2 linked regions of the Elephas maximus indicus genome follow. The protein of the gene in region 2 interacts with the protein of the main gene of each other region in a pairwise test. Links are inferred from orthologs where the notes say so. Each region holds a gene or a part of one and is shown on either strand. Other genes may lie near its edges.

The links. The genes of interacting proteins can lie anywhere in the genome.
Region 1: the proteins of CCDC136 (region 2) and NDN interact in a two-hybrid assay, tested with the Homo sapiens proteins (2 studies listed by BioGRID). The link is inferred for Elephas maximus indicus from reciprocal best matches to the Homo sapiens genes CCDC136 and NDN.

What each region holds. Positions count from the first base shown.
Region 1 is NC_064831.1:99,136,141-99,143,265, reverse strand, and holds NDN (necdin), read left to right. Parts: upstream 1-4,956; 5' UTR 4,957-5,076; coding exon 5,077-6,060; 3' UTR 6,061-6,622; downstream 6,623-7,125. UniProt on the Homo sapiens protein: Growth suppressor that facilitates the entry of the cell into cell cycle arrest.
Region 2 is NC_064826.1:21,273,105-21,280,740, forward strand, and holds the start of CCDC136 (coiled-coil domain-containing protein 136), read right to left. Parts: upstream 3,025-7,636; 5' UTR 2,953-3,024; coding exon 2,895-2,952; intron 2,167-2,894; coding exon 2,059-2,166; intron 254-2,058; coding exon 1-253. UniProt on the Homo sapiens protein: May play a role in acrosome formation in spermatogenesis and in fertilization.

The sequences.
Region 1 (7,125 bases), on a different chromosome or scaffold from region 2:
GGACCGTTCGCTTTGAAGAACTATGCTCTAGATGCTCTCTCAGGGTGATTTCTTACACCTCTTCTACCTTCCAAACTTCTATTTTTAGCCCACGCCTCTTTCCTGGGACCTATATTTCCAGATAGAGTCCCCCTGGTGGTGCAAAAGGCTGATGCATGCCATTGCTAGCTGAAAGGTTGGAGGTTCAAGTCCTCCCAATGGTGCCTGGGAAAAAATCCTAACAATCTACTTCTACAAAATCGGTCCATTGAAAACCCTGTGGAGCACAGTTCTACTCTAACACACATGGGTTTCTACTAGTCGGAGTTGACTCACCAGCAACTAGCTTTATATCCAGATACCCACTGGGCATATCTATTCTATCTTCCCCAGGCTCTCAGAAAATCATCACCCTTCCCACCATATACCTCAAGAAATGGCACCACCATTTCTCAGACTGCACTGCCCAAACTCAGTCATCTCCAGGACAGAATCTTGGTTGTCCCTGGTATTCATAGTTAGCCCCTCATTTTTCCTTATATCTTCTCTACCATCCCTACTGAAAGTCAGTTGCCTCTGTTCCCTTCTCTCTGACAGCATTGTGGTTCCTTCCTGATATGCATCACGATTAATGATTATTTAGTTACTCATTTGTTTTATTGTTTGTGGCTCTTTTCCACCACCACTTCCCATACTACAGATTGCAGTGACCATGTCTTTCTTATTATATCCCCAGTACCTAGCACAATGGTTGAAATTTAGTGTTTAATAGTTGCCATGTGAAGATGAACTGCAAGCTTTTCTCACATGGATTCCTGCGAAAATTTCCTAATTGGTCCCTTTGTCTCTACTTGCCCACCTGCCCCAAATTCCAGACTTAATCCTGTAACCAGGTGATCTTTCTAAAAGACAACCCTGACCCTTACTCTCTGAGTGCTGGCAGGCTGCACTGTGGATCTGGGCAGGACTAGAAGGTCTCCAGTGAACGGTTGAATCTCCTCCCCTGCACTCTCCCAAATGTGGAAAGCAGCACTGCCTATCCTCGCTTCTTATTATTCTCTGACAAAAAAAGGTCTAGCTGCCAAATAGTCCATGATGTCATTGGTTTCCCCCTTGGATTGAGCTACTTTTCTACAATGCAAATCTGTGAGGCACATAACAAATACTGCTCAATAATAATTGCTTAACAAATTAACATGAGTTCTGTTTCAAACCTGTGGCTTGTGAGATCTTTGGTACCCTAGTTGGGGGTCCAAGGTGGATGGTGCTGTCTATGTAGAAAGAAAAGAGCCAGAAGGATTTACTTTTCACTCAGGGCCTCTGGGCCTCTGCACCATGAGCATGCTCTGTCCACTGGAGGCTGTCAGAAGTGGCCCCCTTCCCCTGCTTACTATGGAAACCAATGCCAGGACAGGCCTCTCCTCCTTTCCTAAGCCTGTCTGCCAAGAACGGCCTATCCCACAGCTGTTTAATCTGTTCCACATTATAGTTTGGAATAACCAACCAGCAAACTGTCTACTCCAGAAAATTCTTCATATACTTTCCATATACTTGCTGCATCCCTGAAGCTTCTATTTACAGAATCTTGATTTAAAGAATATCCTTTTCTTAGTTTCTTTGGGGAGATACTATCGTAAGTATCAGGCTTCTGCTTCTAAGCTGCTGCTCCTGAGAAGACTAATTGCCCAGATCAAAAAGGGCAGTCTCGTGGATACCGAGCAAGTCTAATTTATCCCCAACACTCTTGGAACATCGCTGGAGGTCCAGCCCCAAATCTTGACCCTTGGGTTTAAGCATTTGTGCATACCTCATGAGCACTGGTTTCCTATTCTTTCCCATAATGTCAGCTGTCATTTTCCTTATAGTTTTGAATTCTTGCATCTTTAGTTTATGGGTTGGCACCTTATTAAGTAGCTACAAAATCCTTCCCATGGCACATGTGCACGTGTTTTCTCCCCTTAAGCGCTATCCTAAGCTTTACTTTGTTTCCCCATCTTATTGAATTTTCTTCTTATTGGGAAATCGAGCATCTTCATCAGATCTTTTCCTGGGAAGAAAATAACAGTACCAAGGTATAGTTGGGCTTCAAGGGAGAGTAGCACCAGAGATTTACTCTGTACCTGATTTCAAAATTGAGAATCAGTTTTGAGGCTTTAATCTCTCCTAAAATAATCCCTATGTGGTTCTAATCCACAGGGTCTGTAAGAAGTGAGGTGTGAAATGAGCTGTGGCAGAGGTGCGGGTGTACTCTCCAGCATAGCGTCGGTGACCTCACCAGAATGAGGTCCAAGCAGGAACTCAATTATCCAGTCCTGCTCCAGGCAGCTACTCAAGCCTAAGGAGCTTTCTAGTTGAAGATCTGCTATCCCACTTCAGTAATAACTGATTTTTGTAACAGCTGTGCCCAAGCTTGCAATTTGATTTCATCAATTTGCTAAATCTAGGAGGGTAAACTGTGAGGATGTAGTTTTAATAAATTTGCATCAGCAGAAATTATGGCCCATGGTGAGAAATGAGCTGAGATTTAAATAATAGGCTCAAACGTCCTAATTTTTAAGACATTAAATGAACTTAATATTTAATTCAAATAATTAGAAAAATATAAAAATCCAAACTAAAGAAAGAAGAGGAAAATTAATGGAGGTTAAAGTATTATATTTAAGAAGCATAAGAGCAAAAAATCTATACAAGCACCATTCTAAAAAACAAAGAAATAAAGGTATATCATACTTCTGTAAGATATATTCAAGAAAATGTTAGAAATTTATAAATTAAAGAAGAAGCTAAGTGCAAAAAAAACAACTAAAACAGATCTGTATGATATGTAGGAATTATACTCGTGATGTGGGTGGCTAAGAAGTCCTGTTGGAGGAACCCATGGAAGAGTGCTTCTTCTAAAGGTGACACGTGTGAAAGAAAACCCAACGATAAGAATGAGACAGCACAATACACAGTAATGTGCCTCATAACATCCGTTCAGGCAATGTCCAACCACATATCTGACCCTAGCCCCATAAAGTTATAATAGAGCTCAGAAATCTTGATAGGAGAGCCAGACATGGCAGATTTAGGCATATCACACTGGACAATCACCACGATCCTCAAAAACAGAGAAAAACAAACTGTTAAAGGATGGGATCCACTGAAAACTACAATGCTAATGAAAATTGGAGAGGGACTTATATCAGACATAAAGAAATTGGTAATGATGTGGACTGAGGACCAAATACAAAAGCAATCCCTCTCACCACATTGACCATCACTGCTAAGGCACAATGCTTGTTCAAGATGCGTAAAGAAAAACCAAGATCAGACTGTGATATCAAGTCTATTGCTTGCTCTGGGTGGTTCAAGCACTTCAAACAACATTTTTTGCTGTTTAATGTGAAAGTAAATGGTGAGTCTGTGAGTGCTGATTCAAAGGCAGCAGAAGAATTTGTTGGAATCTTTGATAAAGTATTTGTAGAGGGAGGTTATTTTCCCCATGAAATTTTTAATATGGACAAAACCCACTTATTCTGGAAGCAAATGCCTGAAAGGACCTTCATCCATAATATGGTGTACACACAATGTCCCAATCACATAACATCCTATTTCATAGGACATATTGGGGATCTTAAGCGATGCATGACTGTAAATAAATAAATCTACTTGAGAAATAATAAAGTGAGAAATGAGGAAGGAGATATAACCAAGTTAAGAGAGGACTGTAGATATGTCAAGACATATTTTAAACAAGCTTTGGGTTTCAGGTGACAATAGCCAGACCTGAGATAGCATATTTAAGAGGAGCCGCTGATTTGAGGAAACTCAGCAAGGGCTGAAGGACAAAACTCAGCTCAGACCGAAGATACTGATCAATCTCAAGAGCCCTAGTCCCAGGGGCTTCAACGCAGGCCCCTTTTTTCACGGATACGCCCTTGGAGTGTCAGCTTCATCTTTGCCCACTGCCGATGGGTTTTCAGCACTTGGGAAACAAGACCATAAATATGTTCATCTTCTACCTTTGAACATGTGAGAGAGACTGACACATATCTATGCACCCCACATCTAAAAACAATATGAGGAAGGCCTTGGGTGAAGCTCCCAAAGGTGGGACCATTCAGGTGCTGCCAGAGGGTGGGAGTGGGATCATCTGAGAAGGTAGGAGCATCCACATGAACACAGAGTGGAGGTAGAAGTAATCAGGGGTGGGAGTGTTTTGGGCAAACAAGGAAAAATACATTAGCATACAAGCTTGTGCTAATAAATATGACAATCTTTGTATTATAGGAACTTATGGAAAAGTCGAAATGAAATAAATGTAACTCAAAGGAAATGGAAAACCAAAATCAATGACCATTAAAACACTAAGGGTTAGTAGCTTATTATCTCCAAAAACGTTCAGTTTTCACATGGCCTGATAGAGAATGACTTTAATTACATTCTGTGTTTCTCCTTATAATGCCTCTGGTTTGCTAGGGACAACATCAATTTTTATTGGTGTTTCTCAGGATTCCAATCTCAGACACCCTCCTCACAGTTTATACAGTTTCTTGGGCAATCCCGAATGCTCCCTTGGTTTAAATTATATTTATGATAGCCAAGTTTACACAACAGCATAGACTTTTCTCTAGGACTTTTGTATCTAACTTGATTCTGGTGGAATTCTGGTTGAACATTTATTCCCGTTGAACATTTCCTGAGAAACTTGACCTCAAGTCTCTCAAAAGCTTAAGTTATCTTTCCCCATACACCTGCCTCTTCTCCAGCGGCCACCCGCCTTGGCCCCTACCCCCACCTCTCTAGCCCAAACAGGAAATCTGAACTCATTCTTGCCATCTTGCTAGTGGAGGTCTCTAGCCTCTTCCCTGGCACCACTGCAAGACCGCCCCTTCGGGCTCGGCCCCGCCCCGCCCCTTTGGCTCTTGGCCCGGCCGAGGGCCCCCGCCCCGCAGCCTGCAGACGCGCAGGCGCGCTCTCCCGCTCCGCCCCGGCTCTCCGCTGCGGAAGGCGCCGCGCAGTAGCGCGCACTTCCTCTCCAGGAGTCCGCAGAGGGAGCGCAGATCCTAAGAGCTCCGGGACGCAGAGGCCCTGCCCTTGTCAGACAGAGCAGACATGTCGGAACAAAGTAAGGATCTGGGCTACTCCAGGTTTGCAGCCGAGGCTTCCCATGCCGAGGTGTGCATTAGCCCTGGGGTCCCCATGGAGGGTCCGCCGCCAGCCTCTCAGGCCGCCACCCTCGGAGAGCCGCAGAGCCTCCCTTTTAGCCCGATGGACGCCCCCCAGGCTTCGCCTTCGCCCCAGGCCCTAAGCGACGAGGGGGACATGAGGGCTCTGTTGCTGGAGGAGGAAGAAGACTGCGCCTGCCAGGCCCAGAGCGCGGCCCAGGCCCAGCCAGGCCTGGCGCCACCGACCCCTGCTCAGCTGGTGCAGAAGGCTCACGAGCTCATGTGGTACGTGCTTGTCAAGGACCAGAGGAAGATGGTCATCTGGTTCCCAGACATAGTGAAGGATGTCATCGGAAGCTACAAGAAATGGTGCAGAAGCATTCTCAAACGCACCAGCATCATCCTCGCCCGAGTGTTCGGGCTGCACCTGAGGCTGACCAACCTGCACACGATGGAGTTCTCGCTGGTGAAGGCGCTGGAGCCGGAGGAGCTGGACAGGATGGCGTTGAGCAACCACATGCCCATGACAGGTCTCCTGCTGATGATTCTTAGCCTCATCTACGTGAAGGGCCGCGGTGCCAGAGAGAGCGCGGTCTGGAACGTGCTGCGCATCCTGGGGCTGCGGCCCTGGAGGAAGCACTCCACCTTTGCGGATGTGAGGAAGGTCATCACGGAGGAGTTTGTTCAGCAGAATTACCTGAAGTACCAACGCGTTCCATACGTTGAGCCACCCGAGTATGAGTTCTTCTGGGGCCCCAGAGCTTGCCGTGAAATTACCAAGATGCAGATCATGGAGTTCCTGTCTAGGGTCTTTAAGAAAGACCCCCAGGCCTGGCCTTCCCGGTACAGAGAAGCTCTCCAGGAGGCCAGAGCCCTGCGGGAGGCTGAGACCATTGCCCACGCCTTCCGCAGCAGTATTTCCGAGGACTAGCAAGGTCGGGAGGCAGATTGATTGATCTGACCCTCACCAGTGCTGTGGAGGGGTGGGGGGCGTTAGAGTATTCAGGATTTACAGTGCAGTGTTTCACGTGTAACTTTCAGTTTTCAGTACAGTGCTTTTATACCATTTAATGCAATGTTGTATTCATTGGGGTATATTTGCTAGCGTTTAGGATTTATGCATGTTTGCTTATAAGTAAGCTTGCTTCATGCTTTCTCTCTTGTGCTACCTTTCTTGGGTTTTTGTACCAGAGACGTGCTAAACTTGTGAAATACATTGAGAAATTTTCCATCTTATTCTTTTATATGGAAGAGATGATGTATATTGGGATTAAGACTGCTCATGGAGAGTTTTGAAGAACTCTCCAGTAAAGCTGGCCAGACCAAGAGAAATGTCAAGGCCCCTCTCTGTCCTTGCTGGGCACAGGAAATACATCTGTGGGGAGTGGGAGTTCAGTGATTTGAACTGAAGTGGTCTCAATGTGGGTAGTTGGCACACTTTACTGAAAACAAGTACAGTCCCACCATCAGTAAACATTAAAGATCTTGTGATACAATCATTTTTGGAAAAGTGTCCTTTATATATGTTTTAAACAAAGTAGTATTGTTGGTAATGAGACAGCATTGTCAGTTTTACAAAATGTACAGACACAACTTGCTCAGCTAATAGGGTATAAAATCACTACTCATCATTGTCATGAGTCTGTGAAGCTTAGTTTTATTTTTTATGTAACTCACATGTTCGTTTCAGAAACTGACAAATACAGAAAAGTATAAAACAAGCAAAATTGCTCATAATCGCATTGCTCTATTAAATCACAGTTAATAGAGCAATTTCCTTAATTTCATTTTCTACATTTATTAAAATTAATAGCTTTAAAAAACTACGCTATGTTTTTGAGCATTTGAAGAGTGAAGCATTGTACTAAACACTTCCATGTATTTAATCCTCATAACAGCCCTGTGAGGCAGGCACTCATTACATCTGTACCAAGGAGGAAATTCTGGAACAAAAAATCATTAACTTTCTCCAAATCATAAGCTTATTAAGAGGAGG
Region 2 (7,636 bases):
TGCAGCTCCAGGGAGTCGTCCTCGTGCTGCCCCGCCAGTTCCCTTGTCTCCTCCAGCTCTGCCACCAGCTGCAGCACCTGAGCCCTCAGCTCCTCCAGCTCTGTCTCCGTGAGGCTCAGGCCCCGGTGCTTGCTGACAGACAGGGAGCCCATGCTGCCACCTTTGTGCACTTGTTCTTCCTCTTCTTCCACCTCCTCTTCCACCTCTTCTTCCTCCTCTTCCTCCTCATAGAGAGCTGGAAGTAACACCTCCCCTAGGAGAGACACCCATCCCACTAGGGGGTCAGAGCCACCTTACTTGCAGCCCTTTGAGGGCCCTCGAACTCATTATCCCAAGACACAGATGGTTTAACAGTGCCACCTGGTGTCCCCCAAGGAGCCCTTGGGCAGGCCTGTGCTCCAGTGAGAACTCAGGTGTGAGGGTCAAGTTTGGAGGCAGCCCCTCCCCCTCACAGGCCCTCTGGACCAATGTTACACTTGGTGGTCTCCTACTACTACCTTCAGGCAAACGGAGCAGGCTGGTGCTGGCTCAGCCATATGGAGCTTGCACAAGGATACCTGGTTCTTCTAGTCCTGGCCTCTGGGTCGTGGGGCAAGTAGTTAAGAAATAATTCAGACATTGGCTACGTCTTCAGGCCAAATGGTGCAAGGGTTAGTTTAGGGGTTTGTGGAAAGTTAAAAAATTAACCAGGTGGCTTGTGAGAAATTAGCCTTTCCATGGTAAGAAAGGAGTCTCTGGGATGTACGAATGATTAACGCATCCAGCTGTGAACTGAAAGGTTGGTGGTTTGAATTCACCCAGAGGTACCTGGGAAGAAAGGCCTGGCAATCTACTTCTGAAAAATTAGCCACTGAAAACCCTGTGAAGCACAGTTCTACTCCGACACACCCAGGGCTGCTATAAGTCAGAGTCGACTTGATGGCAACTTTTTTTTTTTTTTAATACATAGTAAAAAGCATTACATGAAAGGAGGTAGAGAAAGAAAATATCACACAAAATGATTCTAAATGTTTCACTGGACAAACAGTGGGGCCCTTACAAAGGTATATTATCAAATAGCCTTTTTTGAAGTGTTCTGCAAAGTCTACCTTCCTTTTCCCTGTGGGTGGCATGAGGTCCCCCCTGTCCTACCAGGGCATCACGGGGCTTCTCCTCCTGCTGACCACAAGGTGGTTCTCAGGGGAAGTCTTAGGCTGGACTGGAGTGTAAAAGGAAGTCCATCCTTTAATGCATTCAGAAACTGGGGTGTGTCTGTCCCCTCCTCCGGCTGGTGAGCCCCCCCTCCTTGCTGCAATGCAGTTCCTCCAAATAGCAAAATCTTGCCTGGGTGGCAACTGCTTGCTTTGTTTTAGAATCTGACTCTCTGGTCTTATTTTCTCCGATATCAGGAGCCTGAGGTTCACCTGGGGCCCCCTGTATCACCTGTCCTCCATGGGGGGAGCAGGGTTGCCCACACTGAGTGTGCACAGGGGCCTGGCGACACTTCACAGAAGTCCTGGAAAATAAACCAGCATCCTTCCAAGGGCATGGGCTGGCAGCCACTGCCAAGTCACATTGAGTTTAGTGGGGAGATGGGTGGTGGGAGGCTGGCCTTCTCACCTGGCCCTGCTAGGCCCTGTCTTTTCAGGCAGTAAGATACCAGAGAGAACCAAAGCCACAAGCTTCATCAGAAGTGAGCCGTGGTGGCATCAGGAAGATAGTGCACATGCCCACTTGCCTGCTTTTTCAAAATAAGGGCGCTTTGGGTTTAGATCTGACAGGGAGAACAGCCCCTGCTGAAAGGATCCTTTGACGTTCTGTCCAACAAGGCTTCTTTCTCTGTCTGGCAGCTCCCCTGGGACACACAACCTGGTTAGATGGGGACTGGGGCACCAAAGAGATTAGCCCAGGACTTCCCTCAAAGCCTGGGCCCTGGGGAAGGGTACGCTCAGACAAGAGAGGAGGGGGCTGAGATAAACTGAGCGAAGGACTGTTTCCTGGCTGGGAGCACTGAGGGTCAGAGGGAGGAAGATGGAAGGAAAGAAAATGGGGGTGGGGGAAGCTTTTGAGAAAACTCACCCTCCATAGCTTGCATCCCCCGACGTTCCAGAGACCCCCAGCGTTGGCCTTTCTTCCTCTCACAACCCTCAGATACTTCAAAGGAGCCTAATGTGGTTACTGTTGCTCCTGTGAACAGGCAGAGAGGAAGGGCTGGGGGATGCCAGGGGCGGGCCTGGGGTGGTGGGAGAGAAGGTGACGTGCCTTCCAATCCTTCAGCCCTGGGATTTTTAATCCCAGTGGAGGTCCCTGCCTCCCTCTGCCCAGCTCTGAGACTCCCCTCTCTCAGCCAACGGGACCCCCGCCTGCCTCGTCAGCACCCCTGTTCCGGGCTCCTCTCCTAGCTCCGACAGAAGGAAGGTGTGTGTATATTTAGCCGGCAGGGGACGGGGAGGAGGTGGGCCAGGATGCAAGACAGAGGGCAGGAGCCTGTAAGGATGCGGCCGAGATGGTGAGGCAGCTCGGGGAAGGGGCGGCAAGTGATGGGGGCTGTGGGAAGGGGTTGCGGGGCTGGACTGCGCCGCTCCGCCCCCACCCCTGCATTCTCTTTCCAAATCCCGTCCTCCCCCCTCGCCCCGCGTTCAGAAGCCTCCGGGGCCGGAGGGTGTGCAGGGTCGGACCCCCTTCTCAGGCCGGCGAGGTGAGCTGGAGAGGGCTCCGGGGAGGGGCTGCCAGGAAGGGCGCGGCCGAAGTGGGAAAGATGGGGCCCGGGCTGGGTGGGGGGCCGGGGCAGAGGGAGGGAGACTCGAGGCCGAGAGGCAGGGTGTCCTGCAGGGAGAGAGGGTCTGGGGGCCTAGAGGGAGGGGGACCGGGAAGAGGAAGGGGGGTGGTGAGGAGTGAGGGCGGGCGGTTCTGACCTGGGCCCGGGCAGCTCCAGCCCGCGGCTCCCGCGCCGGCCCCGGCGCCGGCCTCCATGGCCACTCCGCCGCCGCGCCCGGAGCAGACGCCGCACCGCGAGGCCGGGGACCGGGGCCGGTGCGCAGGAGGCGGTGGGAGGGCGGGCAGGGGCGGGGCCTGGCGGCCACCTGACGCCGCCGCCCGGAAGCCCGCCTTCCTCCCGGCTCCCGGACCCGGACGGGCGGGCGCGCGGGGGTGGGGCGACCCCCGACCCGCTGGGTGCCTTCCTGGTGCCGGCACCGAAGGCAGTGGGAGGGGCCGGCCGCATCGCCGACGGGAGCAACTGGCCGCTTGAGGCTGGTCCTGGGGGTGGGTCCTGCCCCGACTGGGCGGTGCGCTGGGACCCCGCTGCCACCATGTGTCCGGGCGCGCAGTGATGGAATGGGAAAGGACACAGATGGACCAGTGCCCCTGGCCTGTTTCCTCCTAGCGCGCAAACACGACACTCCCTTCTCTCCTCACCCGCAGGGCCGGCGCTCCCCACCCCACAGTCGGCGCGGACCCCGGCCTCTGGCGCCCCAGGCCAGCGCCGTGGCCTCTCGACCCCGGAGCCCTGAGGGCAGGAGGAGGGAAGCCACGGCCTGGGATATGAAACTGTCCCCGGACCCTGGCCCTCTGGGTTTTCCTCGCCACCCCCTACCAAGCCTGAGCCAGTAGCCCACTTAAGGAGAGGTCCCCTCCGGTTACCCTACGCAGCCCGAGGCGCCTGAAGACCTCCTCTCTCCTCTGCCCTGCCTCCCCACCCCCCGCCCCTCATCCAATGGGCTGCGAGCTGAGACCCCCATCCCACGCTGCCCCGCTGCCTGCTCAGAGTGGGCGCTGTTTTTCACTCTTGTAAAAGGGCGGTTTGGAAGTCCAGAGGGCTTATTTCACTTATTCATTCATTCATTCATTCAGAGACTGTCACCGTGTGCTCGTGTATCTTGACGATGCGTTTGTCCTCACACTTCTGCAGTTCTCAGCCCGAAAGAAGTGGGGACACTTGTGCCTTCGTTTCCTAGGGCTGCCTTAACAAGATACCACAAACTGGGTGGCGTAGAAGAACAGACATTCGTTATCTCACAGTTCTGGAGGTTGGGACTTCGAGATCAGGGTGTTGGCAGTGTTGATTCCTTCTGCAGCTTTGAGAAGTGATCTGTTCCAGACCTGTCTCCTGGCTCCTGGCAGCTCCAAGATTTCCTTGGTTGCAGCTGCAGCGTCACATGTCTCCCTGTCTCTGTGTATCTTCTCCTTTATAAATCATGTTGGATTAGGACCCACCCTACTCCAGTAGGCGCCTTGGTGGCACAGTGGTTAAGAGTTTGGCTGCTAACCAAAAGGTCAGCAGTTTGAATCCACCAGCTGCTGCTTGGAAACCCTATGGGGCAGTTCTGCTCTGTCCTGTGAGTTGGAATTGACTCCACTGCAATTTTTTTTTTTAACTCCAATATGACCTCATGTTAACCTAACTGATAACACCTTCAAAGACACTATTTCCATAACAGGGTCATATTCACAGGTATAGGGATTAGGACTTCAACATATCATTTTGGGGGACACAATTTAACCCATAACGACTTGGGAACTAAGGCTTCCCAATATATCTGGAAAATTGTTGGGAAATTCCTAAGCCGGGGCACGCACCAATCCCTTCTCTTGCATATCCACTCACAAGGTCATGGGCATATGTTGTTTGTGTTCATCCCCACTGGTTCCCAGGTTCACAACCCTCCACCATGATGTTCTACATGGAAGAAGCCCTTCTTCACCTGGACACCCCCTACTTACCTTTAAGTGCTCTGTTCCAGAGTCACGTCTAGGCAGCCTTCCCTGACATTCACCCCAACCCCACAGATGCCCCTATTGTGCCATCCCACGGTCCCTGTCATCCTTCCTCTGTCACAGCACCAGTCACTCACTCTGGATTGACAAGACCAGGTTTTCACCTTTCTGTCTGCCCAATTTCTTGAAGGTATGGAAGTATCTCCATCACCTGTGTGTCGCCAGCACCAGACAAAATGCCTGACACTTAAAGGTAAATTTTCCAACCATACAGCATATTATTAAAAATATGATTTCACTGATATGCAGTTAAATGTTGCCTGTTAACTCTTTTGTCTATCCCCACCCCACCCCCAGCCTGGTACTCTGAGAAACAATGAGACATCAAAGGTGTTTCACCTGCTCCCCAGAGGACAGGATTCCACCCCAGATCCTGTGGCCAAGGTGATCTGGTCTTGGGGAAAGGCAGTTGAGCAAGCCCACCCAATCTCTTCAGGAGGGTCTTTGCAGACATTAGACCTGTCAGGATTTGAGGAGCGGGACACTTGTCAGGGGGTGGAAAGGGGCCGGCAGTAGGCAGGGGGAGGGCATAGAGGACCTGGGCATACAGAGGCCAATGCTGGAAGCCAGTGGTTGTCCCTTCTGCTCCGGCACAGCTCCTGGTTCTGGCTCAGCCTGTGGGGTCTGGCTAGCAGTTGGCCTTGACTGCTGACCTCTTGACTGTGGAGGGAGGGACAGGGGAGGCTGTAGTTAACTGTGACACCCAGGCTTTCCTCAGGGAGCTCTGATCCTGAGTGTCAGGACTAATCTCTCATTTGGTCCTGGGGTGCATGTCACCATTCACCGTGAACTTGGGGAACATTCAGAGGAGACCTGAACCAGTCTATCCCCAGAACCCAAATGTGGGTAAATCTTGGCAGGACAGTACTGAGTGGAGGGTGGGGGTGGGGGTGGGGGCAGGAGGAAAGGTTTTAGCAGGTGTCGGGGTGGGGTGAAATGTGGTCCCGGGATGACTCTCTGAAGGGCTGGGAGTGGTGGGGATGTTAGCCAGGTGATCAGCTGGGAGGGAGATGATCTGAATTAATCCTCCTAATCCCTGGAACCAGGACTCAGCCCCTCTCCTAATCCCATCTCAGTGGATCATCCTTTCTGAGGATTGATGCAGCCATTTATCCTCCGTTACCCTTATTTCTAAATGCCTAGATCTTTTCATTAAAAAGAAAAAAATAGGAATGTTTAAACCTTCAAGACACGTACAGTACAGAATGACATAACATCCGTGTATACACCACTGAAATCCAACAGTTGTTACTATCTTGCCACATCGGATTCAGATGGAGCCCTTCCATTTATGTTTTCAGTTTTACTTTATGTGTATGCATCCACAAACAATACATAGTATTGATTTGTATGTTTTAAAAAACCTCTATAAATGATGTTATATTGTATACCTTCTTCTGCAAACTTCCTATTTTTCATTCAATGCTTATTTTAGATTTATCTGTGTTGACATATTGCTCCAATTCATGATTTTTAATTTTGGAGTCTACTTTATTGTTTGAATAGACCACAATTTATTTATCTATTCTTCTGTTAAAGGACGTATAGACTGCTTCCAGTTTTCTGTATTATAAACAATGTGGAAATTCCAGCAGTGGAATCTCTGGGTCAGAATACATGCATCTTGACCCTTTCAAGACCCATGAAGCATATGGTATCCCGTCCACTTTTTATGCCTCTGGAGTTCTTTTAACACATTTAGCCTCAGGGTGGGAACCTTTTGAAATGCATGAAGCTCAGAAGTCCTGAGTGGGAGCCTCATTTTTGTGTAAAATGAACATTGTCTTAGGTGATGCCTCTCAGATACATGAATTTTCTAAACTTTTGACAGGTTTGCCTTTTTTGTCTGTGAGATAGGCCTCCTCACTGTTTCCCAGTTACCATGTTCTGTGAGAGTGTACTTATTGTGCGAGTAAGCTATTGCCAGGCTTCATTCAGTCCTAGTGGCCATTTTCCACTTCATGTCATTCATTGTTTCCAGGGTTTACTTGCTCCCTTCTTTTCCAGCTTCTGAGCGGTAAATAATGCCTTTCCCATAAGGAATAATTCTGGGTAGTGGTACTTTTCAAGAAATTGGAACTCCTATAAGTTATTCTTACCCTGCATTCAGTCTTAGGGCCCAGTCATTACTTCCATGTGTAGCGGGTAGAATGCACCACTGTGAACGGGTCTGCAGTGTTCCAGGGCAGCTGTTTCTGCTTCTTAGCTGTTAGTACTGCTTTTGTTATAATGAAGAATACATAGAAGTGATAATTTTCCTGAGATTCAAATTCCTTGAGTTTTATTTATTTTGCCTGTATGTATTGCTTTTGCAATAATGAAGAAAGCATTGTATTGCTAATTTTCCTGAGATAAAAAATCCCTTGGCGTTATTTATTTGGGCGGTAAGTATACTTTTGCAGTAAGGAAGAATGCTTTGTACCGTGTTTTTAAAAAAGTTTCATGAAAAATAAAAAGGCTAAGAAGAAGGAGACTAGAATAAGATGTATGTGCAGTCATTGCCAGATGCCTTCATGTTGTACAAATGTTCAAGAAATAAAATTTTAAAAATTAAAAAAACCTGATTTGATCATTGACTCATATCATCAGGATTTACGTCATCCAGGGGCTGCTGGGACACATGTGATCCGGATACTGGGTATCAGAATCCACAACTCATAAGAAAAACTCCGAATTGGTCCTTTAATCAACGTGCCTTCATTAGTGAAAACATGTAATACCAACAAAAAATTTAAAGGAGAAAAGAACTGGGTTTTGAAATCACTGTTGTCCAATTGCTCTATAAAGTAGTTGGACCAATTCATTACTAACACTGGCTTTAGGGGCCCTGGTGTCACAGTGAAGCCCTGGTGGTACAGTGATTAAGAGATTGGCTGCTAAA